Arabidopsis thaliana: one gene and its partners. The protein of the gene in region 3 interacts with the protein of the main gene of each other region in a pairwise test. Each region holds a gene or a part of one and is shown on either strand. Other genes may lie near its edges. The genes, in order: NAC094, BRX, ERF8 and BEL1.

What was found.
Region 1: the proteins of ERF8 (region 3) and NAC094 interact in binary tests that used the Arabidopsis thaliana proteins (3 or more experiments, as listed by UniProt).
Region 2: the proteins of ERF8 (region 3) and BRX interact in binary tests that used the Arabidopsis thaliana proteins (3 or more experiments, as listed by UniProt).
Region 4: the proteins of ERF8 (region 3) and BEL1 interact in binary tests that used the Arabidopsis thaliana proteins (3 or more experiments, as listed by UniProt).

The regions. Positions count from the first base shown.
Region 1 is NC_003076.8:15,936,605-15,943,382, reverse strand, and holds NAC094 (NAC domain containing protein 94), read left to right. Parts: upstream 1-2,792; 5' UTR 2,793-2,891; coding exon 2,892-3,090; intron 3,091-3,179; coding exon 3,180-3,520; intron 3,521-3,609; coding exon 3,610-4,083; 3' UTR 4,084-4,273; downstream 4,274-6,778. Other genes in the region: DEG8 (Trypsin family protein with PDZ domain-containing protein), read right to left, coding at 1-88, 367-500; AGL98 (AGAMOUS-like 98), read left to right, coding at 5,039-5,398, 5,476-6,105; AT5G39800 (Mitochondrial ribosomal protein L27), read right to left, coding at 6,447-6,515.
Region 2 is NC_003070.9:11,443,912-11,452,400, forward strand, and holds BRX (DZC (Disease resistance/zinc finger/chromosome condensation-like region) domain containing protein), read left to right. Parts: upstream 1-3,375; 5' UTR 3,376-3,409; coding exon 3,410-3,411; intron 3,412-3,852; coding exon 3,853-4,006; intron 4,007-4,914; coding exon 4,915-5,306; intron 5,307-5,403; coding exon 5,404-5,533; intron 5,534-5,635; coding exon 5,636-5,955; intron 5,956-6,063; coding exon 6,064-6,142; 3' UTR 6,143-6,281; downstream 6,282-8,489. Other genes in the region: NIP3;1 (NOD26-like intrinsic protein 3;1), read left to right, coding at 6,549-6,680, 6,920-7,144, 7,381-7,661, 7,741-8,074. UniProt on the Arabidopsis thaliana protein: Acts as a regulator of cell proliferation and elongation in the root and shoot. Regulates roots architecture and primary root protophloem differentiation.
Region 3 is NC_003070.9:19,819,250-19,825,516, forward strand, and holds ERF8 (ethylene response factor 8), read right to left. Parts: upstream 3,004-6,267; 5' UTR 2,848-3,003; coding exon 2,290-2,847; 3' UTR 2,088-2,289; downstream 1-2,087.
Region 4 is NC_003076.8:16,576,564-16,586,404, reverse strand, and holds BEL1 (POX (plant homeobox) family protein), read right to left. Parts: upstream 6,470-9,841; 5' UTR 5,982-6,469; coding exon 5,124-5,981; intron 4,522-5,123; coding exon 4,130-4,521; intron 3,305-4,129; coding exon 3,244-3,304; intron 3,160-3,243; coding exon 2,635-3,159; 3' UTR 2,328-2,634; downstream 1-2,327. Other genes in the region: AT5G41430 (RING/U-box superfamily protein), read left to right, coding at 1-286; AT5G41420 (uncharacterized protein), read left to right, coding at 1,089-1,286. UniProt on the Arabidopsis thaliana protein: Plays a major role in ovule patterning and in determination of integument identity via its interaction with MADS-box factors. Formation of complex with AG-SEP dimers negatively regulates the carpel identity process and favors the maintenance of ovule identity.

The DNA of each region.
Region 1 (6,778 bases), on a different chromosome or scaffold from region 3:
TAAACTTGTCAACAAGATTCTCCTTGTCGTCGAAGGGACACTTTTCACAGCTAACTCATGTAAATTCGACTTCCAATCTTGAGTAACCCTATCGAATAATCAAACAGTCAAAAAGTAACATAAACATCAAAATTCTCCAAGAAATCAACAAATCTTAATGTCTGATTCAAAATGAGAAGTTTCTCCAAAAGATTGTTCCAAAAGTTAAAAGCTTTACGGTGATTTTTCACTAACGTTGATTCACACATAACACCATTCTTAGTAACCTAAAGCCCATCAGGAAAAGACATAATCTTTGAGCAACCCAAATCAAAGGAACAAATTTTCAGCAAAATTTGGGGCAATGGAAGAAGCTAAAATGCTTACTTGACAGAAGAAACGGGTGGGTGTGAAACGACGTCGCCTTGAGAAATTTTGGAACAGACTGAAGAAAGAAGTTGTCGTCGACCAACAAATTCATTCTCATTAGGTTTCGAACAGAAAGATGCTATTACCTGCATCTTTCCAAAAAAAATCGAGAAAACTCTGAGACCAGTCGATTTGGCAAAAACCTGGATAAAATTAAGAATCTTAGATAATTTTTTGTGTAGCTTAGGAAGAAGAAGATACTTGAAATACCGAAATGCCCTCTCTAGTAATTTAGAAAATAAATGATTTATTTATTTTATATGTGTTATTTTGTTGTGAAAAAACCCAAAAAAGCAGATATTTATTTTTTTATTAAGAAATATTGCATTTTATACGCGAAATTTTAAAAAGTAATTATTTTAAATATGTGAACTTCGTATATGGCCATTTAATATATAAAAATACGTTGATCGGGCACCATTTCATACAAAATTATTTGTTGATCATGCCAAAATACACACGACGTTATCTACCGCTAACAGATCCGATAACATCCGTTAACTAGTCTCTTTTAGTTTCCAATACAACGTCGTTTCACCATAATCGAAATGAGAAAAATGTCATTTAATACTCCAACTTTCAAATTGTGACAGTTTTATACATCAACTTCACATGTGATTATTTTATACATAAATTAAACATTGACCAGCAGTTTGAAATATGAAAATGCGTTGAGCAGACCAGAAAAACATATCGCTATCTAGGCCTAGATATTCGGATTTTAGTTTGGATTCATAGGGAACAGCACTTCTATCGGGAAATGGGTGTCACGCCGCGATCCAAAAGTGTTAATCGAGAAGAACAGCAAATATGCATTGGGCTAAAGACGTCATTCAGTTTAGGTCCTAAGAGTGAATCAAACGATGTGAGGCCTGAGTGGAAGATGAAGGAATTATGCTTTTAAAAGTTTGAAACAAAAAGAAAACTGTAGGTTTGCTTCTTGATTTTCCAAATTCCTCTTCATTGTTGGACTCTTGTCTTACCATGTATACTTTGTTTTTTTGTTTAGGTGGACCACAATGTGATTGTCTTGTGCAAGGTCTCTTTCAAAAGTGTTATCAAGGTTTATGAAACATCTCCACTTCTTTATTTCAGGTTCACAATTTACTTTTTTTATCTCACTAAATTAAAATGTCTCCTTCAATTCTCTTTTCTAGGTTGAGCAGACCACTTTGGAGGAGCTATTAATCGAACCTTGCGAGCGAGTGTTGTACCAGCCGAGAGGCAAGTGTACCTCCATCATCCTCTTCCTTTGAGGACGACGAGCATGTCCGATACATGCTCCCTAGGGTTTAGTCTCGGAGATAGATGGTTTGATGTATCGGTTTTAAAGCACAAACCGTTCAAAGCATTAAAGCAAAAACTTGGATTTTCACAGCATTAATAGATATTCCAAGAGGATGGTTGTTGACAACTTTAATGTTTTACATATAAAGAGAAATAGAAAGCTTAGGTTAAAGGCTATTGACCAAACTTCCCAACTTGTGTTGCGTGGGTTAAAAAACCTAGGCCATTTTTTGGACTTCTCTCATCTTGAATTGTTTTTTGGTTCATCTTGTTTTTTTTTTTTTTTTTTACCACGAGATCTTCATTTCTATTCTACGTATACATTATGTTTTTACATGTCTCAAACTTGGAGACATATATAGCAACCTTAAGCAATGCCTTCGATTTTACCAATGCCTATATTGACTTACCATGGATTTTACTTTTCTTATATGTTACAATAATATATATAAAAGTATGAAACTATAAATAAATGTGGAAGAAGGAAGGAATAAATTAATTTTAGGGAATCGCGAATTTGAGATTTCATAATTTACGTAAAAGAACATTACTTTATTTACGGCTATAACTAAAACTACAACGACCCTTTGCTTAAGCACCACAACTTTCAAATATCAATCTTAATTTATAAGACTTTTACTTATAGACTTATAGATATAGAGATTGGATCCCATATAGATTCTACTCTAGAAAAACGTTTGACATTAGTCGGTCAAAGTCGTATCATCATTAAGTCATTAACCATATAGTTAGATTTTTTTTGGTAGAATGCATCTATAAGATATCGAAACAAAGGAAGAAAAACGTTTCCATATCATATTTTCCTAAAGATAAACCACATACGTAATGTAAGTATAACTTTTCCTATATTGTTCGACTCGTCCGTAGCCTCGATTTCACGAAGTACGCAATAACCTTGAAGTTTGAATCTTCTCATAAGAAAAATAATAATTTTAACGGCAAAATTCAAGATTCATAATATCTTTCTTGTATAAATCTCCTCTTATTCAAGAGACATTGGTCTTATACCTACGCATCACTTTCTGGTCCAATTATCGTTTCCCTATGAACCCATTTCTTCTTCTCTAAGAAACTTCTTCCTTCTTCCCCAAACTTACTCTCTCTATCTCTATAAATCTCTCTGTTTCTCTTCATCAAATTTTGGTATCCCAAAAGTACTAATTCTGTGTGTGTTAATGGTTCTAGTTATGGATGATGAAGAGAGTAACAACGTTGAAAGATATGACGACGTCGTATTGCCAGGGTTTAGGTTCCATCCCACTGATGAAGAACTCGTAAGTTTCTACTTGAAACGGAAGGTTTTACACAAATCTCTTCCCTTTGATCTCATCAAGAAAGTCGACATTTACAAATACGATCCATGGGACCTCCCAAGTAAGCCACAAAACTCTAACTTTTAATTCTCCAAATATATGGAAACAAAATATTTGATTATGCATTTTCTTAAATCAATGTTTAAAAAGAGCTTGCAGCGATGGGGGAAAAAGAGTGGTACTTTTATTGTCCTAGAGACAGGAAATACCGCAACAGCACAAGACCTAACCGAGTAACTGGAGGTGGCTTCTGGAAAGCAACCGGAACAGACCGGCCTATATACTCATTGGACTCCACTCGATGCATCGGTTTGAAGAAATCACTTGTGTTCTACCGTGGTCGAGCTGCTAAAGGAGTCAAAACCGATTGGATGATGCATGAATTTCGTCTCCCTTCTCTCTCTGACTCTCATCACTCATCATATCCCAATTACAATAACAAGAAGCAACACCTTAACAATAACAACAACAGCAAGGAGCTTCCTTCAAACGTAAGTTATCGGATTTGCCCTAACTTGCTTTACCCGCAACAAAGGTTAGGTTACCAAACAAATTAGAATCGATCTTTTTCATTTTGTAGGATGCTTGGGCGATATGTAGAATATTTAAGAAGACAAATGCAGTATCCTCACAAAGATCAATCCCACAATCTTGGGTTTATCCAACGATTCCTGACAACAATCAACAGTCACACAACAACACCGCAACTCTCTTAGCTTCATCAGACGTTCTCAGCCACATATCAACAAGACAAAACTTTATTCCTTCTCCAGTCAACGAACCCGCAAGCTTCACAGAATCAGCTGCTTCTTACTTCGCGTCTCAGATGCTCGGAGTCACGTACAATACAGCCAGAAACAACGGAACAGGGGATGCTCTGTTTCTGAGAAACAATGGAACAGGGGATGCTCTGGTTCTGAGCAACAATGAGAATAACTACTTCAACAACTTGACTGGAGGGTTGACTCATGAGGTTCCGAATGTAAGATCAATGGTGATGGAGGAGACTACGGGGAGTGAGATGTCGGCGACGTCGTATTCCACTAACAATTAAGATCATAGTACTATTAACACTTGAATTAGTGTAGACGTTGATCATCGCTAATATGTATTAATTTTTCTTGTCTTACTATAAACGTTGCTTCTCTTTTGGTTTCTTGAAGGCCGAAAAGAAAAAGAAAAAAACAAAGACTTGCTTCGAACATGCAACTTCTCCTTAATTTGGTATAGATAATTGTAATGGCTTTTTATATTAATCATTAAGTCTCATTCTTGAATGACACTAGTTTTTTTGGATTTTTCAGAGCCATATTTCATATTCTTTATGAAGAGGATACAATGCTTTCTTTTTTTTTTTTGAAAATAAGTAAAGAAAATATGAATTTGCAAAATCTTTTATTTATGTCAATAATGGCAAAGTAATGGATTAAAAAGGTACACGGAGTTATAAATTATATTTCTCATTTTTTAATGGAGGGTTCTAAATTTTATTTAAAATGGATGTATTTTGGTCGATTTTTGTTAGATTGTATTGTCACAAATTTTTAGCAAATCCAATAATTATATTATTAATTAAGAGCTATTTACATAATGATACAAAGGGTATCTGAAATATATATGGACAAGCAAATCTTTCTTTTTTATAGATCTTATTAATTAAAAGAGAGTGAGAGTAGAAAAAAAAAACTATTTCCTTTTTATCAGTCCTTAACGGCTAAATTACACAAATCTATGCAAAAGATATGGAAATCAAATCTTCACAAGCTTTGTTTTACCGATTAGAAGAGTGAAAAAAAAATAAAAAATCTAACTTTAAGGACCAAATTTTCTATAAGTATATCGCTATTTCACAAAGTTGTCTCTGACTTTCATATTCTTCATCATCTTCTTAGGGTTTCCTAAACCTAATTCGTAGTTTCACTCTCTCAATTTCATTCGTCTTCGTGCTTTCTCTTCACTTTGAACGTGAAACAAAAAATAGAGAGATTGTCTTCGAAATCAACAAGAAGATGGCCATTCGATCTTTACCTTCTTCCTCAGGCTGTTCCAATTCCTCTTCGTCTTCTTCTTATTCACTCGCTTCAACAAGTTTGAGCAATAGACTTGAGACCATCTTCAGGAAAGCTTCAGAGCTTTGCACTCTCTGTGATATCGAAGCATGCGTCATCTATTACGGACCAGACGGAGAACTCAAGACATGGCCTCCGGAGCGAGAGAAAGTGGAAGACATTGCTCTCAGGTATAGTCAACTAAACGAAGCCTTGAGACGCAAGAAGAGCGTTACTCTTTATGACTTCCTGAACAAGAAGAAGAACAAGACGAACTTGGAGAAGAAAGCAAAGATAAAGGACAACGACTTGAAAAGACTTGTCTGAAGAACGTGAATGTTTTAAAGTATCCAATTGCTGATCATTACTCTCCTGACCAAATTTCTCAACTGATTCAGTCCTTAGAACCTCATGTCTCTAAAGTCCGAGAAAGGATTCGTTTTGTTGAGTCGCAGAAACATAAGGAGACAAAACCGGATCATCAGAGTTTAGCATCATCCTCTCTGAATAATCAGACCCAATCTTTGAACCCTAGCCAGTTTTCGCTGTTTATGTATAACCATGGAGATAATATTCTGTCTCAGATCCCAGTCTCTGCATCAAATTTCAATCAGGATTATTTCTCAGCGTTACTTGAACAATCTGAGTTGAAGAGTCAGATAATGAAGCAGGAGGTTTGTGGTTATGAGCAGAACATGTGCATGAGTAACAATGGAGATGCTACGCTCTCTCAAATCCCACTCTCTGCATCAAATTTCAATCAAGAGTTCTCAGCCTTACTACAAGAAGAATCTGGCTTGATGCAACAGGAGCTTTGTAATTATGATCAGAACATGTTTATGAACAACAACAACTTCCAACATTCTTTTGTCTCAAACACACAAGATCACTCTGCTCCTGCGGTACAAGAATCTGTGAACAACAACTATGGGTTGATGCCGCATGTTCCTTGTGGTTATGATCAGAACCTGTTTACGAGTGATATTACCAACAACAACCTTCTTATCGACAACTCGATGTTTCTCTGATAACAAAGCTCATTCAAGAGAGTGTGAGACTGTTTTTTCATCTTCTCGTAAGAATTTTAATATGTTGTTGATGTTTATTTTGCTAAGTATTGCATAACGCATAATGTTTTCTTGTATCAAGCTATTTTACTATGTGAACATCCAATTTATCAAGTGAATATATATTCCACTGCATAAACATGTTACCAATTACTTTGCATATCGTTTCGTGAAAATATCAAACCAAATCTCCCATTTTAAGAATAGCACATAAGGATTACGGACAATAGAAGAACATAATCATAACTTAAAGCTTTATGAAGAAGACTTAAAAACATATATATCTTCTGACTGACTATTTTTCACTTGGAAGCTTCAGTTGACTCGTTTGTGTTGACTTGTATCGGGCATTGAGATACATATGGTTTCAGCTGTAAAATCCAAATAGATATACATCAGCAGAGCAGCTAAATCACACAACAAAGGTTAATGTAATTAAGTAAGCATTCCCATTTCAGGTCCCTAACTCAAAAACCTTACAACAAGAACAAACCAAGATAATTATCAGGATGAACCTAAGGAGATTCTACCAACAAGACTTGTAAGAAGATTTCTCACTAATGTTTGGTTCTCAAGTTTCAATTAAGATGCAAGGTACATACTAGAAGTATCAAAGATAAAAGGAACATAAGAG
Region 2 (8,489 bases), 8.4 Mb from region 3:
TAGTTATTAACTAGATCAACCTAAATAATCCATGTATGTAGTTTAATTGGTGGCCATAATTTACAGAGAAGTGTAATGCCTATTACTTAACCGCGAATCAACATCACGATATTATCAGCCTATACAACTTTGGAGAATGACTCCTTATGCCTATCATTATTTAGTAATTTTATAATTAAAAGTTTGTGTTTTAGTTTACCATCTTTATCGGAATCAAGTGAGTTTTTTCTACATATTTTAATCTAAAATTAAAAGTAGAAAAAATCGATGACCAACACGACTAAGTAAAGTCAAGCTCGTTCATATCACTTTCATATAATTATTTTAAATGCTTCGAACTCGATACATTCTTTCAAGCTACACTGAGAAACTTCATTGTGATTAATATCAACACCTTTTTGTCTGAGGTTAACATTTTATGTTACTAGTATGCTTTTTCTTATATCATAGAGATTCAGCTCGTTTGTACTTCCTTAGAAAATTTGTAATTCACTATGTTATAACCTTCAGTGAAATTCGAACATGGCCAAATATTTCATCATTAACCCCAAAATCAAGAATGCTTGTCTTTAAAACTCTTTTGACATTTCACTTCCTTCGTACTTTTCACGTATATGAATGAAAATAATAAAATTTATAAGAAATCTTCGTTTAACATTTCTTTTCTAAAAAAGTCATTGCATGCATGAGATACTTACATATGCAATTGAAGAAAACAAAATTACAGTACAAATATTTATTCCAAAATACATTAACACATCGTCAATTCTGCAAGCTTTTCTTCTATAGCAATCTCTAAACCTAGCATAATTTGGTTTAACGAGTCAAGAAAAGACAATTTTTTATTTATTTTTTAATATGGTCGGACCATTACACTATATTATATATTAAAGAAATGAACATGACAAACAAACACATCACATGTGTAAAATAAATAGAAATAGTTGTATCATCCCATACTTCAATACTCCATCCACCATGCCAACATTAATCCATGATTGGGACACTATTTAAGCAAACACTTCAACTTACACTTTCACACTATATTATATAACTCCAAATGTCCAAATGAAAAAAATTCAATGAACAAGTTATTGATTCTATTCACAATCGATGCTTCTTTACTCATTTAGTAGAAACATAACAACAAAAAATTGGCACACATGATCATAACCAAAACAAGACAAAACGATGAAACACACATATATTATGTATAGTAAAATAAAATAAAAAGAGATGATGAAATGAACCCACACAAAGCGAATCGTGATGCGACGGTTCCCTTGGCCTGTCAAATGTATCGTGACCAAAACCCGACCCGGTTTCAGCTGTCTCAAACCAATCAGAAACCGCCACGTATTCTACTTCCACCACACGTAAGCCATCTCCGTCACCGGTAGACAACATGGGCCCTCTTTGCCGTCTCTTCTCGAGACCAATATTTTTCCTCGGCACACCAAAATAATAAACCTCCGTCAAAACTCACGGTTCTTTTTTATTACATTAAACGCCGTTAAACATTCTCTTTCCTCCACGTATATATATATACTCTTCGTAACTCTTGTCTCTCTTCTCTTCGTCTAGTTAAAACTCTCGGAGCTCCTTTCAGTTCTCGGGTCACCCAATAACCCGACTTCTCGACCCGGTTTCGTCTCTGTTCTCATTTTTTCCAAATTTCTCTTCCGGAAAATGAAGATTTCTATGGGTTTTTGAGTTTGGAGATTTTCTCAGTGAAGTTTATTACATAATCAGATTCGAAGAAGAAGACATTTCAGGTGAGTTTATAAAAATTCTCTTTTTTGAAGATTTTTCTCGGGAAAATAAGAAAACAGAGAGATTCGTTGCTCTGTTTCTGTTCTTCTGTAGAAACGATTAGTCACTGGTTTTTTTCCGATCGATCTTTTCAATACTATTTTTTCCCGGAAAAAAAAAGATTCAGAGATTTTTTTTTTTTTTTTTGCGTTACCTTTTTCTGCAAACATTTGTCACTTGATTGATTTGATTTAGACAGATTCGATTCGTCATTTTTTTCTGATTAATACCAAAATTTTCTCACTAAACCCAAATCAGAAACTTCACCGAAAAATGTGTATTCATTCTTCAATATTAATATAAATTTTCATTTTCATTCAAAAGTTTCCCGGTATTTATTGTTCTTTTACTTTTTTGAGAAAACGCCGAATTTTTTCTCAAAAACATTAAAAGCAAAATTGTAGTATCATAAATTGTTTTCGTCCTTTTGTAACACATTTATTACAATTACTGTCTGTAACACTACTACACTAATCTTCTCTGCAGCCATTGATGGTCTATTTATAGACGTAGACTCAGAACTAACCCCACTCGTGCCGGCTTCCTAAATAGACCAAAGCCTTCAAGAGGAAAATAAAGCAGAAGCTAGCTATCTAGTATCTCAATAATCTCAGATCATATCGCTTCATTTCTCAGATATCGAAACACAAAGGTGAGTGAGTAATAAACAAAACCCACTAATCAAAATTTTATTTTTTGGATTGTAATGATTAAGAAAAAAAGAAGAAGTCGTTTTCTGAGGTGAGAATAATAATGGTTTTTGTATCAGTTTTTGCCTTTGCTTTTGATATCAAAACAGAGTTTTTTTCGTGATTCGTGATTGTTTTTGCGATTTTATCTTTTACTTTGGATATAGTTTTAGTTTTCATGTCGCGACACGCTTTAGATTGGTCCATCATCACTCAAAACCCTAAAAATAGAAACCAATCTCTTTTTCTTTTTCTTAACACGTGACTGTCAAGATTCCATTTTCTTGTTATATTTTTCAATTTTGTTTTGCTTTTCTAGTGTTTCCAATTGTTTTCTTCTTTACTTATGTATTTGTCTTGATCGATGTTAAACACGCGGAATCAGAACATATTATTTGATTCTCTTGAGTCATCACAATAATCTGATTTTTTTTTAAAATGTCATAAATTTCGGCTACTGCAAAAAAAATGTAATTATTCTTCGAACTTTTGTTAGTTGAGGGATGGGTTTAGGATCTTTTGCTGCACACAAAAGTATTAAGTTATTCTTTAACAAAAAAAAAAAACTATTTAAAGTAGAATAAAGAAGCATTTGTCTCTATTATGATTGTCTTTAGAATATATTATTACTTGTAAATAATGTGTTTATACAATTTTCAGGTGTTTAGATTTGCACAATTAATTTTTAAAATATTAGTATTTCTTAACTGGGTCCTATTTTCTGATCCCCAAGCTCTCTTTCTTTTCTAGTTATAACATCTTTTTTTTTTTAATAAAGAAAAGTGTAACATGTAGTTTTAATATCTCTTTCAACACTTTTGTCTTTATCAAGATCTCTTCACTAATTTATACCCATCTTTTTTTATTCGCTCTTAAAATAGGTAACACAAATATCCGACCATGGTGTAATGTAAACTGTTTTTCTTTCTTTCCATTTTTAAAAAATGGGTTTAGTACTTGAAATATTTAGCATTGGTTCTTTATGAGTTAAACTACTAACCAGTCAAGTTACATTTTCTTTTTGTTATAACATGAGTAGTTGTTTCCTGACTAGAGATATGTCAACAACTTTGTCCTTTTGTGTTTGTGTTTTGCGTTATAAGAAAACGACAATTGAAATCCAAATACCCTTTTCTAGCTATATGTTCCTAACTTGTAACTAATGTTTACATGTGTACTACGATTACATAAGCTTTACCCGTGTTTTATGTCGGATTGTGAGAGTGAGCTCTACTTTAACGTTCTTAATTACTTTTTGTTTTGTTTTGTAGAGTATTATTATTGATTTGAGTAGAGTAGTGTGAGGTTTGGTTTGTGATGATGTTTAATAGAGTACTCTCTGGTTTTATAGGTCTGAAAAGGCAGAGAACAACTCAAAAAAGAGACCAAAAATGTTTTCTTGCATAGCTTGTACCAAAGCAGACGGAGGTGAAGAAGTCGAACATGGAGCGCGTGGAGGCACCACTCCCAATACTAAAGAAGCCGTCAAAAGCCTAACCATTCAGGTCTCTCTCTTCTTTCTTTGTTGATCCTTCTTCTGCTTTTATTTTCTTTCACTTTATTTTATTGCTTTTCTCTAATTGCCTTGCTCGTGAAACAAACAAAGACACAAACCCCAATTAACGTATCTTAGAGGACTTAAAAAGGGTCCATATATTTGACTATTATTCGTTTTCTTTACCAAAGAATAGAGTTTGAAGTCATTAGTATATAGAGGTTACTGTTGTTTAGGACAGAGATCTTACAATGAGGTAACTTCACTTCATTTTTTGGAATCTTTCACCAATCTCTCTTTAATAGTTTTCATGTCAGTGTTTGCTTCCTCTCTATGTGACTAGACATATGAAAGTCAAAAACAACTACTGAAACAATTTAAACCCTCATTGTACATATCCTTGAATTATGTAGCCAGTTGAATTATCAGGACTATCATTAAAGCTTATATTGGGGTCATACTTTGATGAATATTGCTAGTGAAGCTTGATCTAAATACCTTTCTCTCAAATAAGCTTTAGTGGATTCTTACCTAGACAAGGAAATAAAGAAAGGGTTTTTTGGGGTGGGGGTAACTATTTTAGTAAATCAAAAGAACATAAACAAAAGAAATAGTGGGCCGTTATGATTGTGGTGCAGGCTAAGAAGACAATATGAAGTTTCTTTTTTTAATACATATGTTTAATTATGTTAGATCTCATAGCTTTATTGTTGTTCTTTTAATAATGATCATAGTAGACCTCTTTTTACTTCATTGGGCTAAAAAGTATACTTAGTCATACTTAAAAAGGCTTGAAACTACCTATAATGTTTGTGTACCGTTATACTCAACATTCTTGTGTGTTTAAATGGATTACTTTGATAAACAAGATAAAGTTTTTGAATGTAATCGGTCTTTTTGGGTGCATATGTTACGCAGATTAAAGATATGGCTTTGAAATTCTCTGGTGCTTATAAACAATGCAAGCCATGCACTGGTTCCTCTAGTAGTCCCTTGAAGAAAGGACATAGATCATTTCCGGATTATGACAATGCCTCTGAAGGTGTTCCATACCCTTTCATGGGTGGAAGTGCTGGTTCAACTCCTGCTTGGGACTTCACAAACTCCTCTCATCATCCAGCTGGACGGTTAGAATCAAAGTTCACTTCAATATATGGAAATGATCGAGAATCTATCTCTGCACAGTCTTGTGATGTTGTACTGGATGATGATGGACCAAAAGAGTGGATGGCTCAAGTAGAACCTGGTGTTCATATCACATTTGCTTCTCTTCCCACTGGAGGAAATGATCTCAAACGGATCCGTTTCAGGTATTTGAACTACTCAAAACAATCTCTATATCTTCATGGCATTCAACGCTGAAACATGAGATAAAAACTAACAATTACTTGTGTCTTGTTTTGAAAGCCGAGAGATGTTTGATAAGTGGCAAGCTCAACGGTGGTGGGGTGAGAACTATGACAAGATCGTTGAGCTTTACAATGTACAGAGATTTAACCGCCAAGCTCTCCAAACGCCTGCAAGATCCGACGATCAGGTAAACACATATATCCTTAGATCCCTTAGTCTTTCTTCAGAACAGGATCTATATGAATCTTGTCTTTTAAGCCAGAGAGGGTAACACAAGTTTATATTTCAGTCACAGAGAGATTCAACGTACTCAAAGATGGATTCAGCAAGAGAAAGCAAAGACTGGACTCCAAGACACAATTTCAGACCTCCAGGATCTGTCCCGCATCACTTTTATGGCGGCTCTAGCAACTATGGACCAGGAAGTTATCATGGAGGACCACCGATGGATGCAGCAAGAACCACAACTTCTTCCAGAGATGATCCACCTTCCATGAGCAATGCTAGTGAAATGCAAGCTGAGTGGATTGAAGAGGACGAGCCTGGTGTTTACATTACCATCAGACAATTATCAGATGGGACTAGAGAGCTACGTCGAGTCAGATTCAGGTATAACAAAACGTCTAAAACTAAGCATTTGCTAATCATATACATTTTGAAAGTTGGTAATCATACCGTGACTAACCGGAATCTATGGTTTTGTGGTTTAATCAACAGCCGGGAACGGTTTGGGGAAGTGCATGCAAAGACATGGTGGGAGCAGAACAGAGAGAGAATACAAACACAGTACCTCTAAGCAAACGAAATATTATGAGTACCAAAATCTTTAATTAATTAATTAATCTCCTTCACATAACAACACAAACTACACACATTTTGCTTATCTTTTTGTTCATCTTAGCTTAACATCTATACATAAATTAAGTGTTTTGAAATATCATTTCTAATCAAAGCTGATTACATTTACATATAATTATAAGTCTATAACTATCGTGTAAACCATGTCGTGTGTTTTGTGACAAAGATAAAGAAGTCAACTATGAACCTAAAAGAATTTATCAACATGCGGTATAGACTATAGAATAAAAAAGTCAACTTTATTATTTGCTTATAAGTTATAACGAATACAAAGTAGAGTTGACCATTTGAGTTTTTAGATGAGAAAACCATAAACTTGGAGGAAAGTCACCATAGTTCCATCAATGGCTGAGATTTCTGATATTACTACTCAGACACAAACCGTTGTCTTGGACATCGAAAACTATCAATCCATTGATGATTCCCGGTCGTCGGATTTATCCGCTCCTCTTGTGTCCGTATCGTTCGTTCAAAAGGTGAGCCGCCTCTTTTATGTTGCGATATGGTTTCTTAATTTGTCGTGAAATATTTGTTAGTCCAAATCAAGATTTTATATTTCGTGTGATGTTTGCTATAGCCTATATGCAAGCTCAATCTTGACTTTGGTTCTAATTATTGGTAACTGATTTTCCAATCTATGAAGTATGATAATCAAATAAAACAAACATTATTGTTCTCTCTTTAGTTGATTTTTTTTGTTGAAAGTACTCTATAGTTGATTGGAGAGTTCGTGGGGACATTCACTATGATATTTGCCGGTTGCTCAGCCATCGTGGTAAATGAGACGTATGGCAAACCGGTGACACTTCCCGGTATAGCTTTGGTATGGGGACTAGTCGTAACGGTTATGATCTACTCAATTGGTCATGTCTCTGGTGCACATTTCAACCCTGCTGTTTCTATTGCCTTTGCCTCTTCTAAGAAGTTCCCTTTTAATCAGGTGATCCAAAGATATCTACAATTGTAAAAAAATACCTCATACTATCTTTATAATGTTATTTCATGATTTCGACCATATTCATAATTATAAGCAGCAAAATATGTATTTCCACTAGTTATTTGTTAAATCAAGTTTTTCTCGTTTATTCCATTTCGCATATTTGGTCATTTTACCATAGATATCATCTATACCAACTAGTCTTACATTGTATATGTAATGTGGTGGTTGTATTACAGGTTCCGGGGTACATTGCCGCTCAACTTCTCGGATCGACCTTAGCGGCTGCAGTTCTACGGCTTGTGTTCCATCTAGACGACGATGTTTGTAGCCTCAAAGGCGATGTTTATGTGGGAACATATCCGTCAAACTCAAATACGACCTCGTTCGTAATGGAGTTCATCGCTACTTTCAATCTAATGTTTGTTATATCTGCTGTCGCAACCGATAAACGGGCCACCGGGTCATTCGCTGGAATCGCTATTGGCGCAACCATAGTACTCGACATCCTTTTCTCCGGGTAACTATTCTAAGTCTCTTTTGAAAAATTTCCATGGTGATTTTGTTAAAACATAAGCTAACAATGTTTTATTTTCAAGGCCAATTTCGGGAGCATCTATGAATCCAGCAAGAAGCTTAGGGCCTGCACTTATATGGGGATGTTATAAGGATTTATGGTTATACATAGTTTCACCCGTGATCGGGGCATTATCAGGTGCATGGACTTATGGTTTGTTACGATCGACAAAGAAATCATATAGTGAGATTATTCGTCCAAATTGCAATAAAGTATCTTCGAGAGATCGCCAAGAAGCTTCCCAAGATGAGATTTGTGTTCTACGAGTGGTTGATCCGGCTAATCAAAACTATTTTATATGTTCATCACCTACTGATATCAATGGCAAATGTAATGTTACATGTAAGTTGGCGTGAATTATATCGATGTACTATTCACTAAACTAGTTTACAATATATAATTCATAAGTTTATTTATGATACTGATGTATCATATTTTTATATAAGATTTGTCGAGCTTTTTTACTATTTTAACATTTTACCGATTTATATCAGTTTTACACTGATCAACTCAATATCGAAATAATTTATTAATTTAACGAGTATTAATTTATAATAATTTATTGTATTGTATATACTTTTTTTTATATGCGAAAATGATAAATATCTAATTTTAAAAGAAAACATTGTCAAATTCATTCTTTAATTGATGTCATCTTCAATATATGACGCATATATTTGTTTATGTAATAATTTGTTTTAGTAGTTTATGTAACGATTTTGTAATTTAGTTTTGATAGTAACTAGGATATGACCCGCGGTACACCGTGGG
Region 3 (6,267 bases):
AGAACATAAGAATGTTGTTTGTGTGTCTCTTACATTGATTTGATGCATTGAATTTTGGTATTTATGTGTATAATTTTTTTTCAGAAAAAGGGTGTATTTATAAAATTTTAAGTTTTTTTTTTTTTAATTGGCATTTTCTACCTTATTTTGGCCTTTTTAGTTTTATCTTTATTTTTCCTTCCTGGTTTTTTTTAGAGAGGAAGCATATTCTTAGTTGTATAATTAAGGGCTTGCCTTTTATCTGTGATAATATGTAATCACTCTTACCATTTCATTCATATACCAGTACTCATAATCATTATTTTTGTTTTTCTTTCTCTTAACTCTCTCATATGACAAAAGTCATCAATCTTTTGTTGTTAATTCTTCTACAAAAGTGGCAACTTGTGTGGTTCATGAATCAGACAACTCAATGCAGCTGTAAACTAAAAAAATTGACTAACAAGGGTTATTACCATGAGAGGACCTGTAGTGAGTCAAACATATGCTCAGGAATACCAGCTCGGTCTTGGTTTAGATGATTAAGTCCCAACCTGAGTATATCTTTCAATCGTTACTCTGGAAATAGCAACATACAAAGAAATAAATAGCAACCGTGACTCTCTTTCTCACAATATAAACTCAAAAGACTAAGGACCATTATTTTTGATGAAAAATTGAAAACTCAAGATCTTTAGTTTTGCTAAGTTTTCTATTTGAGGCCTAAACATAACAAGGAAATTTAGCAAAACAAAAGTTCTTGAGTTTTCATCCAAAATAAAAGGCCATCGCCCAATGGCAAAGTTTCTTTAGTCAACGAAAACATTTGTTTACGTACAAAATAAATAAAATTTGGGGTCACACTAAATCAGCATTTTTGTTTTCTCATTGGGTCACTGAAGCTTCACAGAGGACACGTATTCATTAAAGGTGATAATACAATGTATTATCCAATATACGTAGATGAGTAAGTGGTCCCTTTTTGGTCGGAGAAATGGTCAAAGAACGAAAGGACCTAGTATTTGTTTTCGTTATTTTACTAAAATCATACAGTCACAGTCACAGAGCTCATAAACAGAGGTTTGTGTAAACGCCGTTATCATAAACACCGCGCCAAACACCTCAGCCGACGTGTCGCAAACATTGTCCTGATGACGCCACACGTGGATCGGGCTTTCGGATCCTAGTATGGTAGCCTTCGGTCCAGCATTAAATTTGTAACGTAAAAAAGTTGCAATCGTCAATTGATATAAAACATCTACTTATGGGAGTGATCCATAGTTGTGCGTAGTGACATGACATGGGTGTATATTTGGTTGAGTGGGGCTAAATGTCGTTAAGATAAGGGCTTAATTGAAACTATTCAACTTTCTAGAGGCCCCAATTTTACATCCCTTTATTATAACCCTTAACACGATTTTGTACGCATGCATATATATATATTTTAAAACATACTAACTTCTTTAAAAAAATATGAAATAAGAATTTAAATTATGTTAAGCGTCCACGTGGTAACGATGACGATTCCAGCCGTTGGATCTGCGACCATAGAGCATAACTGTTTTATACGTTTTTTGATCACAAAGTTGGCGACAAGAATCAAAATCAAATCTCATCCTTCCTTTGTCTCTCATTATGAAGCCGCCGCTCTTCTTATCTTCAACTTCCTTAAAACATTTTTACCATTTCAAATCGAATACTATTCAACTTAAGCAAGACTCTTAACCATCTGTTAATAAATCATCGGAGTTAAAAGAGTTGATGCAAAACACAAAAGTCAAAAGTTAGAAAAGCAGTCCAAACTGTGAAAATGACGTAAGCGTAAAGAAGTATTCTTCTAACGTACGCCGCAGCCAGAGAAGATGGGTCCGGTCCTCCCACGATTGGTGCGTGTCTTCACGACACTTGGACCATTGTCTTTTCAAGCCGACGACGACGATACTCATCACTATATTTAGTCTTATAATAATAACATTACCATTCTTTATCTATTTCTTCTACACACGAGCCCCAAAAAGCTCTATAATACTTTATCTTTTCAATTACGAATTTACGATGATGCATTTCCTTGGCAAATACTAAAGAAAAAAAAAAAGCTTAAGATCCTCTTATGTTACGTCGATTTATAATAGGGTTTCATAATAATATATACATAACGACTTTTTTTTCACGGCAGCTAAAAATTATATTGGAGCTTTTCTACACTTTCTTCTAAAAAACGGATAATATTTTTTTCTTAGGCAGAAAAAAAAAGGAAACGTTATTTTTTTTTGTCTAAAGAAACGACATAAGAAAAAAAAAACTCACGGCCTATTCCGCCGGAGGAGCTAAGTTAAGATCCAGATCTAACGGCGGAGATATCTTCCCAGCTCCACCTTCGAAATCAACGACCGACGACGTTTCAGACTCGCTCTGGACACCACACGTCGTCATCTTTGGATACGTCGCCATGTTATAGTAGTAAACCGGATGCACAAGCGGGATCTTACGACGACACGCGCCGCCGCCGCCTAAGCTGAGCTCGAGGTGCGGAGGTGTTATAAACCGTGCCGCCGTGGGAGAGTCGACGACGGTGCTACTCTGAGTAGGACTACTACCAACGATAACACCGAAATTGGTCTTAGCCTTAACACCACGAAAGTCACGCGCGGCTGCGTCGTAAGCACGCGCCGCCTGCTGAGCGGTGTCGAACGTACCGAGCCAGACTCGAGTTTTCTTAACCGGATCTCGGATCTCAGCGGCGTATCTTCCCCATGGACGTTTCCTAACGCCTCTGTAACGAATCTCTTTGGCAGCATTACTCTCATGATGAGTCGGGTTCGTTGGAGCAACCGGGTCGGGTTTCAAACCCATGGTGATGTTGGGCATGGTGTAATTAGGAAGAAGAATGGAACGAGAAGATCGGTGAAAGAGTTTTGTGGTAACGAGAAGAAGTAGAAGAGCTTCTTTTTATAGGAGAGTAAAGCAACGCTCCTTTTGGGGAGCTTTCTTGTGAACAGTCAAAGCCATTTTGAGAGATGGTTTAATTATCTCTCTCTCATGCTTCTCTTATTTCATATAAAAACTGGTTTTTGTTATTATATCCACTTATGTTTTGCCACGTGTTCACTTCTCTTTCTCCAAAAGAATCTTATTTATTACCCTTTTTCACCTTTGTAACAAAGACTGCACAAATCACAATCTTATAAATTAAGTTACTGCCTATTAAGAATATAATATAATTTGGTTTTTGCTGCATTTATCCCTATTTAAACTAGGAACATATTTGTACTAAATCTATAAAACATGTTATATCGCCACTTTGCAATTTTAAGTAATTTTTCTTATTAAAGCAATGTAATATGCGGATTTAAATCTATATAATGACATAACAATAATACTAGTATACACTATTAAAGAGTGTTATTAGTTTGTGATTTAATTAAAGTTTTAGTAACTTAAAATATTATAAAGAATCTATTGTTATTCAATTAAAAAAATTTAAAATATTAAGATTTGTAAAAAATAATTTAAAATCTTGATAAATCTATAGTTATTGGATTTATACTTTTATAAAATTATTATAAATTTTATATTATTTAGCTAAAACAAAAGAATCTATAATTGTCAATGAATTAAATTATTGTGTTATTGGTTTATGATTTTCTACACTTTTTCCAAAATAAAGTTACGAAAAGTATCATTAAAAAAGAAAGATTGTTTGAGAAAATTTAGAAATTGTGAAAAACTAATCAACAAGATTATAGAAAACTCTATAATAATAGTTTAGAAACTTTCATTTCTTTACAATCTATGATTTTATCAGATTCTTGAATTTTTTTTAATTAATTAAGAACTAATAACACCCTTTTAAACTATATGTTTTAGTTAGGTCAAGATTTATATATATATATATATAATATAAACTATTGTGTGTGTATCTAGTAGAAAAAATATTCAAACAAAATTATCGAATTTGTAGTTATATATGTTGTTAACACATAAACAAAAAAAAAAAAATTTGTAAGAAAATATATAGCGAACAAAATTTCTGAATTTGTAAATTATATACCGTTACATATATATATCGTTAAAGTGTCGACAAAAAAATATTTCTTACTTTTCTGTTTGGTAAAAGTAAAAATTATTTGAAATTTGTAATTTAGCGGATGTTACCATGATGACAATATATAATTTAGCGGATGTTACCATGAAAGCTTATTTGGTATAAAGGGAATAGAATAAAAATTTGTACTTTAGTATACCGTTATTCCGTTATAAATGTCGTTAACGAGCCGACAAGAAAAAAAAAATCTATTATTTACATGCTTATATCTGGTGAAAAATAAATATTATCAAACAAAATGACCAAAATTTTATATTGTAGTGGATTTTATATATGACGATATCATGACGAACAACGCATATATACTATTTGTGTATTTATTTGGTAAACAAAATATTATCAAAATAAATTTTTAGATTTATAACTTAGTGAACTATTTTATATATCGTGTATATACAAAAAAGAAAGAGATATCTACTACTTGCATATGTACATTGGATTAAAAATGAACACCATCAAACAAATAGATTCGAATTTGTTAGTTCTGTGGAGAAAATATACGTTGTTACAGTGACGGAAAAAAATGTCGCTACAGTGACAACAATAAAAAGACAAATCTATTATTTACATGCATATTTGTTTTTGTTTTAAAGAATACTATGGAATATATATGTTGGCTTTTATAGTTTAAAAGACTTTTATATATGTTGTCTATCGTGTTACCAATGTATATATATGATTGTAGTTAGAGTAAAGTATAATATAATCTAGTCAAATAAACGCACAACAAAAACTTTTTTTTGCCAAATTCAAACTTAAATTGTAAAGTAATTTCTTGATTATCGCTCAAACCAAATGAGTATAATTTACAAAGCCAATGTCTTCAAAAAACATTTTGGCTAGACGGGCTAAAACATCTGATCTTAAATTCAATCGTCGAGGGATAAGAGAAAGGAGAAAAAAAAATCGTGAATGAAACATATCAATAAGATTGGAAAATACACTTTTCAGAATACTGTTATAACTTGATCAACTTAAAAATTCTGTCTCAAACTTTGAGGTGTTAGAATATTTACTAAACTTCTAAATCTAATATACTCAATAAGTTTTCAGTGTTATAAAGAATCTCTGGTATTTATAGAGTCAGTTTAGATAAAAACTGGATTCGAACAAGATTAAAGTTTTTGGAGCAAAACTGAAGGAAAAAAATACAAGAAATGAAGGTGTTGATCGATAGCTTCTATGTTGCATCAATCAACAGCCCGTTAGAGGCAAGACAAGTCAATTTATTTTGTTGAATAATTGATCGATATTTCATCATGCCAATTCCATTTTGTCGACAAAATCGATCGATACCATGAATGAGTATTGATCGACTGCCTCTTGAGCCTGACTAGGCCACCAAGACCTACTGTCGGCCTAATGATTGACATCTCTATTCATGTTGATTGGCATTCTTTAACCGAGAGTTTTGAGTCTCGTTTTGTCTTGAGTCTCCCTATTTTGACATATAACCAACCCAATTGATCGTTTTTTACATGCCTATTTGGTAAAAAGAAAAAGAATACTATCGAATACATTTGTTGTATTTTTTTTGTAGTTTAGAAGACTATTGTATGTCAACTACTGTTAAGTAATAAGTATAATCTAGTAGAATAGGAAGACTCCAAGGCAAAGCACATGTTTGTAACAGAAAAGGTTATAAAATTGAGTGATTAATCAATGCATCATAAGTTCCACACGGTGGAAACATACTATCACACAATGAATCCATTTATTTTCCTAATCTTGATTGTACTACCAAACAACCTATAAGACGATCTGCTATATAAAGTGCGTTAGTTTAGATGCCATCATACTCAAATGTTACGAACATTTTTTTTCTGAAGTGTTTTCTGATGGAAATAAATTGGCAACAACAAGCGAGAAATTAAAAGCTCTCCTCTCACAATTAAAGAGACGCAGATATTGGCATTAGAATCTGGAAAATTACGGACAACAACAACATCAACTTTAAATTTAATAACAACAACAAAGAATCAGCGGCGCATCAAAAAGCCGAGCGAGAATTCTTCAGAAACGTGGCACAATCACGAGGACGCGCGGCTCAGGAACCGCGTTTTAATGATAACGCGTGACGATCACGTAAGCCGTTTCGACAAAAGAGCGTTATAACGTTTTTCTTGACGGTGACATAAGCTAAAATCAGCCGCCCCTAACGCTAAAACCCAAAATCTCTACAT
Region 4 (9,841 bases), on a different chromosome or scaffold from region 3:
TCAGCCTCAGCCTCAGCCTCAGCAAGACAATGAAACCGGACATCTAATGCCGCTTCATTCTCAACTAGAATTTAAAATCGGTTATAGGGCATCGATCGAGGAAATGGAGTTTAAAGATATTGAAAAAGAAGGATTTGATGAGATTGGTTGTTCAATTTGTCTTGAAGAGTTAGAAGATGGCCATGAGATTATCCGTATAAAGAAGTGTAGACATGTTTTCCATCGTTCTTGTATTGATTCTTGGCTGAAACAGAATCGAAGCTGCCCAAATTGTCGATGTTTTTGACCGGTTTTTTTTTTTTTTAATCCCATTGAGTCGATTTATTTTATAACTGTTTTAGTTTCCAAATTTTATTTTATTTAGCAAACTATTGAATCAATAAATTGGATTTATGTGGACGGTTTTAAATCTGATGCAGCATTATCTTCGGGCATTACGTTGGTATTTTTGGACTTTGATCCGTTTGGGTTATTAGCTTCTTTTGGTTTTAATTGTTGTTTATAATTTTTTGAAGGGATTAGGATAAGAAAATTTGGTGTTTATCTTTCAGGTCCAACTTCATTTTCAAATATTTTCTACTAATTAATAATCTTAAACTTTTCACTTAAACAAAAAAAAATATACGACTTAACCTAAAGTTTTTAAACAGAGAAGTACTTCTCAGTCTCTTGACTCGTTACTCGTTAGCTTCGTGGAGTACATGACTCGATCTCAATCTAAAATTCTTGTAGGTCGTCTCATACGCAAGTTGGAATCATTGTTTTAAAATCGGAATCGTGAATTTTACCCGTTGTTAAAAGAACCGCTAGACGTTAATTGACCGCTCGGTATAGTTCTAGCGATTAATCGGAAAATTGGATTAATATCACCAATTCAACATTCCAACATGGGTATATTTGTAGAAAAATTAAAATCATCCCAAACCACTGGTTATGTTATTTAATCCGTTCGATGTGTTGCAATCACGAATTTTGTTTTGGGAGATTGAAATTAAAATTTAAAATTTATATATCAACACAAATAAAAATTATACACCAAACAAAAAACCCAAAAAAAAAACAACGCAGTTGCGGTTGAAACAAACCAAATGAAGCTGAAAAGAGTAAGGTACTCCTCTTGTAGAGAACCACCGCTAAGGTCGGAGTCTCTTTGTGAGCTGATGCTATTTCTGATTGATTTATCAATGGTTCGTGTGAGAGGATTGGGTGATGGCCTTGGTGGTATCGTCTCCCATTCTTTTTCCTCCACACATGATAGATCATGGCTTAGAACAATAACCGCATAGGAATTAGTCTACATCACTTCCTTAATTTCCCTAGAATTCCTTTGCATAGATATTTAATAACACGATTTTGGTATATTATCTTTGAGAATCCATATTATAAGACTTTTTCGACATATCCTAAAGAGAAATTTAGTAAAGGTTTCTTTTGGCTTGAAGGAGCCCAAATGTGACACATGAACCATAATTCATTAATGTTTGAAATTTTGACATTTATATATTTGAATTATTGACCGCGACGAGTAAATATATATACAAATTATACAGTCTTAGATTTAGAAATATGTTTCTTAGATTTAGTTTAAATTAGACAGAAAAGTTTCTTAAACAATGTCAATGTATATATATTGCATTTTGGAAAGAGACGTATGTCTTACTCTTATCGATAATTTTTGTTCTTATCAACACTTAATCTCGTGTTTAAGAGACTGTAGATGTTTGAATAAGACTATAGGATACAAGTCTATCTGTATTTTGTGTCAAATTGTTAATTCAGTCACTCTTGAAACTTGCTTGAATTCATTATTCATGTGTACATAACTTTATATGTATACGGGAGTGTACACGTGAACGTTATCGATCGACCGAGATGGTCCAATAGTCAGTTTGTTCTTTCTTTATTATGTTTGTCGTCAACTTTATTTTATTAGGTTTTGTCATTAATAACACAAAGACCATACACTCTCTCTAATTATGTCTTTATATAAATATGATGGTCTAGTGATTTTCGTTACTGAAGTCGTATCTATTCGATTCCAAATCCGTATAATGCATGCCAACTACACAAATTTCACTCGTCCATGTTTGTGTGATATCTATTTATGTGTATATTATACACAGTTACACACATTCAATTTTATAATTTGTATCAAGTATATACGTAAACGATTGTCATGTACAGACACTCAACATACTTTAAAAAAAACTATATATCCATTTACTTTTCGAAATTTTGAAACCAAATTTATAAGAAAAACAAAATTTTAAGGGATTGAATGTTTCCAAATAGTTTGAGATGGTCCTAGAATATGAAAACAGATTTGAAAAGACACTTGATAATATTTCCTTAAACAAAAATATATATGATTTACATTAAGAAAAAAGTATTAGATTGAGAAAAAAACCTCTCAATAATATATTTTAAAAAACAAAATGAAAATATCCTACAAGTGATATTGACGAACCAACTAACTCATACATTAATAATATCTCCTTGTCCACCAATCCTCCAATCCAATCAGACAACGGTATATATAAATATCTAATTTGGTTTTTATCTAACTAAACCGTTACATAACCGAATCGGTTTTGGAAAATATGTATCGATAACTTTGGTCCTAATCTTTTAATCTCAAACAATATCATGAAGTAATTGAGCTCCCATCAAATTCCTATAAGGCAAATTCTGAACTTGATCATCATCTAACATCGACGCTGAATATTGAACCGGTCCTTCTTCAATGTGGTCTCTACCGTAGAAAAGTTGGCCACCTTGAGCCGTCACTGGAGACAACGCTAAACTCACACCACCGTTACCATCGTTACGTTGTAACCCAAGCGTCAAGGAAACGTCACCACGTGGCCCTCCTTCACCAGCGTATGTCACAGCTTGGTTACCGTACAAGGAAAAGTCAAACGTTGACCCTAACGACATCGTTCCATGGGTTGAGTTGTGACCGGATTTGGATGTAGGGTTTGTCACTATTGAGGATAAAGATTCCGGTTCGACACGGATCAACTGGTCCGGGTCCGGTTTAGTATCGATCATCATCGGGTTTGTAATCTCCATTTGTTCACTTCTTGTTTCTTCACAGTACATTTCTTCAATCATTGGTTTCCATAGCCTAACTCTTGCATTAATAAACCAATTTGATACCTAACAATTTTGGTTTATTATAACTTTAGTAAATAGGATAATAAATTTTGGAATATATCAAGAATTAGTGGAGTTATTCTTTACCTGACTTCTTGATAAACCAGTTTGTCGGGCCAATATATGCTTATCAACATCGCTCGGATATCTGAAAACAAAAATAAGAAAATTTTACTTTAATGGAAAAATATAAGACAAATGGATATGTAATTAAAAAAAAGGATATAAATGATTGAAGAATGATGCAAATAAAATGGAAGCAAAGGTAAAGGGTTTGGTGAAAACTAACAAGATGTTTCATTGTTTGAGCAGTGTTTGGGAATTGATGGAGACAAGTGTTACATATGATGATAAACATATAACTTCTGTAAATTAAATAAATAAAAAGTAGAAGAAAAAGAACAAAATAAAAACATGGAGAAAAAAGCAAGGAGTTATGTATAGTTTCTCTCTTTTGTTAGTGTTAGGTAAAGAACATTGATTCTCTCTCTCAATCCACTTTGTACCTTTCTCTATTTCTGTCTTTCATCCACCAGTTAAATTTATTTTATTTAATTTTATATGTTCGTATACATATATATACATGTGTATATGTATATGTTTGTACACTCACTTTCACACCAATAGTGCAAATGAAAGAAAAAGGAAAATAAAAAAGCTATATGCAATTAACAGATTAAGGTAGATTGTATCCTATGCTTGTCAAGTCAATCTCAATCTCTCTATATAAAATGTACATATTTTTTTACTTTTATATGTTCAAAAATATTCATGTAACAAACAAAAAAAACCTATCATACTATTTATCAACGTACTATCAATGAAATAAAATCGTTAAAGAGGTTTTATATAGCTCCATAAATATACCCAATTAACTTGTGATTCTACCTTCATTGATCACTTCAGAAAGACACAATTAGTAACTTTTAGGTATGTGTAAATATATTAAGAGGATGTATATGAAATAACTTACGGGTGAAGAAAGTGTTCAAAGAGCCAAGCTCTCAACGTTGTGACTGCGCGTTCAGGCAAGCCGCGTTGTGGACGCCAAGGATGAGCGTCAACAAGAGTCATTTGGCGATACGATTTCTGTTGCCGCAAAGCTTGATCGAGCAATCTCAACCGTGGAGTTTCTCCACGTGCTGCAATAGAAACCGCACGATTATCCTCTTCTCTCTCTCCCAAAGCTTGACTTGTTGCTTGAATCTGTCCCACAAGTCCGTCTTTTAAACACCGAAAGTGTCTTGACATTGCCCTTGACGCTAACGCAGTGTATATCTCTGCCCCTCCTAGTCCAACCGCCGCTTCAAAGGCTGCCGCCGCAACTCTCATTTGCTCTCGGTAATGTCCATATCTTCTTTTAAGCTGCCAAAAAACCGCAAAAAAACGTTACCCCACACCATTCACAAAGATTTCAATCACAATCGTGTAAATGTAGATTCTTAGAATGAGTAAATACACGAAAAAGAAACAACTCGTTATGGCTTATGATGATGAAACTGATTGCTATAAATATGGAGGACCACTAGAGTCTCCAAATTAGCTCAAAGCAAAGAAAACAAAATTATATTTTGGTTCTATAGAAAAAAAGAAATAATGAGTAAAGGAATTAAAAGGGTTGATCTTTTCGTAGTTGATACGATCGAACTTGTTTTCGACGAGAATACATGAAAGAATGAAGACAAAAAAGAATCTTTTTATCTTAATATCTAAAAGAAATTTGTAACTTTAAGAAATATATGGACCTAATCAAGAATCGAAAAAATACAAGATTTATGGGTATCTTACATATTTAGGAATAAGTTGAAACCAAATGAAAGGAAAAAAAAAAAGATTTGTAAAAGACTTGTGGGTATTTTACATTTTTAGGAATAAGTTGAAACCAAATAAAAAAGGATTAGATTTTCTAAGAAACTCATGTAAGTTTTGATAGTAGTAATGAAATAATTTCTTGAAAATATATATACCTCTTCGAGCATGGAGAGCAACTTGGCTTTTCTTTTCTGAAGTTCCATGAACTCAAGAGAGTGAAGTGGTGGAACATGTTTCTTTGAAGAAGTAGTCGCAGATTGGTCATGTTGATCATTGTTGCTGTGGTGACTTGTGTCCCACTCTTCTTGTTGTTTACCCTTTTGCTTCTTCTTATGCTTCATCATCATCACTTCTTCATCGCTTTCCTTTACTCCAAGACTGCAAAACTCACTCAGTAGCTCTTGAGCTGGACTCAAATACTTGGAACTCCCAATCTGAAACTGATGATGATTATGATGCTGATGATTGTTATTGTTGTTGTTTTGGTGGTGACTATTCATCATCATCATCATCATCTGCGTGTGTTGGAGATTCTGATGTTGTGTTGATTTATTACCGGAATACCCTTGTTGTTGTTGTTGTTGGGGTCTGAGTTCGAAAGATTGGAGACTGATGCTTGTAGGATTTGAAGAGGAGAGAGAAAGGGAAAGACCTTGGCTTGGTCTTTGTGGTGGTCTCTCATCATTTACTTCACTTGGGAAATCATTATTAACATTGCATAGTCTCATGGCAGATGAAGAATCTTCCAGAAGCTGATTCTGATCAGTACCACCACTTGTCTGATGATGATGATGATGATGATCCGAACCACTTGTCATCCTAATCTGTTGTTGCTTAGAGAAGTCTATCATCATACCCATGTTGGAGTTTGAGCCAAAGATCTGATGATTGTAATGATGATGATCGGTTGGGTTTTGGTTTGTCTCATCAAACCCTTGGATCTGATTAATCATTTGATGTTGTTGCTCTTGATGATGATGGTTATTGTGACCATAGAACTGATCTCTTGCCATGTCTCTCAAGAATTGAAAACCCAAAAAGAAGAGAAGAAAAAAGAAAACTCTTTTTGGGACAAAAACAGAAGTTTCATTAAGATCTACAAGAACCCATCTCCAAGAAAAAGTTAAAAAGAACCAATAAACAAAATAGAAAGGCAAATCTTCTCATACCATGAAAATTACAAAACTTTGTATCAGAACCAAGACAATAGAGATAGCTCCTAAAACCCTACAAGAAAGTAGTTTGCATAAAGATGTGAATTATTTTTCTTCTTATTCTTTAGGTGAAGAGGGAGAGAGAAGAGATTATAGGAGAAGATAGACGAAGAAGAATAAAAGAATTAAACAGAAGAGATATAACAGAGAGAGAGAGAAGAAAAGAGATTGTGTGGCTTCACCTCTCTCTTTGTTTTGTACTTTGACAAAATTTAATTTTTCTTTTAGTATGGGTCTGTAAATTGTACTACAGGCAAAAATAAAGAATTATAAAATGGTAAAATAAAATTAAACCTAGGAAGAGAAAAAATCAGATTGGTATCTCTTCAGAGATCAGAAGACAGGTGATCATGACCCTGCCATAGACTCTATAGCTAGCCATCAATGTTTTAATCTCTCTCTCTATATATATCTATATATATATATATATCACAAGTGGGTCAAAATGCTTTACAATTTTCAAAAGAAATATTAATATTCTTTTTATTTTATTTTTTCCCGCATATAAAATGCCTCACAATTATACATTTAATTTGTGTATTTTGGTATACGTAAGTCATAATGAAATAATGGTTTATATTTTTCTTCTTCTTTGACGTTGAATTATAAATTATTGGTCTGACCAAGAAAATACTACAGGTGTCTACCTCTATTCTTTATTTTCTTCGTTCAATTATTAAGAACCTGCTAATTCGAAAATTTAGTTTACAAAAAAAATCAAAAAGGATGGTACGTACGTACATTGGTCCAAACAGTTTAGAAAAAAAATTGATTGGATAGATAACAAATAATTAAACTGAACTAAAGAAAACAAAAATTAGAGATCCTTTGCCCGGTACACAAACTAATTATACAAGCCATCTTCATATGACATATCTCTACGTTGATTTAATTATTTATTAAACATAATTTAGTATTTAAATGTTCATATATATATATATATATGTATATATGTATTTAGTATTTTGATTTTTATTGCTGAATCCATACGTGTAATCTACGTGTATATGTATTTAGTATGTATGTAGATATGTATACAATATGTTATCTAAGAAAATGATATCAATTTTGGTGTTAGTGTCGTTTGCTAAGCTTATGTAGGCAAATTTTGTTATTAAATGAATATTTTTGGAACTACTTTTTTTTTTGGTGAAAATATTTTTTGGAACTACTTTTTAAACATTTTTATGAAGCATAGCGTATCTCAAGCAATATTTGAACATTGACGATGATTTTTAATTGAAAATAATAATATTCTAAATTTAGCCAACCAGTCACGTGAATGTACAAATTTAACTAGTATTTTGTACAAAAGGTGTCCCTTTCTATACATAAATAATCGTTATATATAATACATGTATGCCTCTGCGGCTCTGCCTATTTTGCTCCTAAAATATATTTTCTTTGTTAAAGAATTATTATCAGGTCTAATTTATAACAGAATTATTTGATGATAAATGAATTTTCAAACAAAGAAGAGAAGTTAAGTTAACTTAAAAAATGAATAACTGTGAAAAAGTTTTGCTCCTAAAATAGTTTTTTTTTTTTTTGGAGAATTAACATACCAATATATATATATATATGTTGGTGTATAGATGGAGAGGTAAGTAAATGAAAGAGAACGAATCCCAAGAAATCAAACCAGAAGTAGGAGTTGAGTTCAGGCTTTTCTCAGATATGTCTCAGTGTCACTTCTCTACTGTTTAACAATTACTATTAAATTACTATCAACCATATCATAACTATATAAACATTTTAATTAATAGTAATTATATATAGTAGAATAGAGATCGTAGTCCCGTGTAATACAACACAAATGGACTGATGTCATTATTCGACTTGCACTTCGCACAGTACGTGAAAGAGATTGTGTTTTGAGTTTTAAAATACGTTGTTGGTCGGTCACTAAACTAATCGAGAAAGTACCAAAACAAAAGTCTCCTTGTTAGTAACTGCAAGGGCGAAGAAGTTAATTATATCAAGATTTAATGGTTTTCTATTAAATTCCATTTAATATGTACGCAAAAGAAGGAAAACAAAAAATCAAAGTTTTCTTAAACATTGCTGACATACAAAATCAAATATTCAAATTTTAAATAAATGTTTCTTAAATGTTGACATAGAAAACTAATATAGTCGTTCTTCTGCTTGGCACATGTATTATTAATTGTTGTAAAAATAGTGTTTATTACAAAATTTGCAAATTTCTTTCTTTAGAATTTAGATATATACGACATCTTAACATTCAAACCATAAGTCAAACACCACATTATGAAAAACGTATAATTAATTGGCGTTACAAAAACATATCAAGAAATTAATTAATTTTAAAGAAATTAAAAATTATTTAATTAAATAGTTTTTAAGTAGGATAATCTTTGATTAGTTAACATCAAAGCCAAGTTGTAAAAGAGGACATAAAAAGATACATAGAAGAGACAAAAACAACACTGTGTTTGTAGTTATTTAACCGCTAATATTTATTAGAGTCACCCAAAAAGCTTTCTTCTTTTCATTGGATGGATAAACCAGTGAGTTTTCTTATAAATGACAAATTCGAATATAACTTATAACCAACAATATCACAAAAAATTGATATTACTTGTGTTATAGAATATTCACATTCAGTTGCTTAAATATAGTATACTATTGCTATATACGTCAAGTTCATATATTTACCAACAATTCAAAAAAAAAATCATCTATACATTCATTTTTTTGTTTCCAAATTAAATACATGTGTTAATTACAAACTGTTAACTGAAACTATCAAGGAAGTACAGGATAAGAATATCCAAAACTTTGAGATTATACGTTAATAACAAACTATTAGTTTTCAGAATTGGAGTATTTATAATTGTTGTCAAGAATTGTTCCCAAACTAAGGGACTGTGCATGAGAGGTGATTAAGTGGTCCTCCATTTTTTTTGCTTCTTTTTTCTTTCTAATGTCTTTCTTTCTTTATATTCATTCCACCCAAAAAAATGCATTTATTTTCGTCTCTCTTTGGGACCATTTTATTTTCTTCTCCAATTCTTACATATTCACATTTATATGAACTTTATATATCCTCTTCCACGCGCCAATGTCTAAGAAAAACAACTCAATTGAATAAAGCATCTATATTCTAATACTGACCTTCTCAGATAATTAATAGGACAATTTTAAGTAATACTAATATGTTATAAATTCATTACAAAACCAAAAGAAAATAACTATTCAGATTTATGACAAAAAAAATAACAATGATTTCTCAAAACTTATTGACATATATTTCACTATAAAAATTTGGTAATTTTAGTTCAAAATGAAGCATCCACAATTTGGTACTCCATTAATTGATAAAATCAGCCATGCGCAATATGTATAAACACCAGAACTAAACCCAATTAATTGGTTTAGTCACGTAACAAACACGCGACATGTTGTGAGTGGGTGAAAACATCTTGGCGATTACATACATTTAAAAGGGGAAGTGGTCCAACCGAAACGGAAGCTCTTTCCGCCGTTTCATACCAAATTCCACAAAGAATCCTTTTTTCAATCTTTTGATATCCCGAAAATACCCTCCACTGATGATTGACGTCATCACTTCAGACCTTTTTTATTTTATTTTTGTCGACAACCTTTTTTATTTAAGAGAATGATCGCAGCAGGTG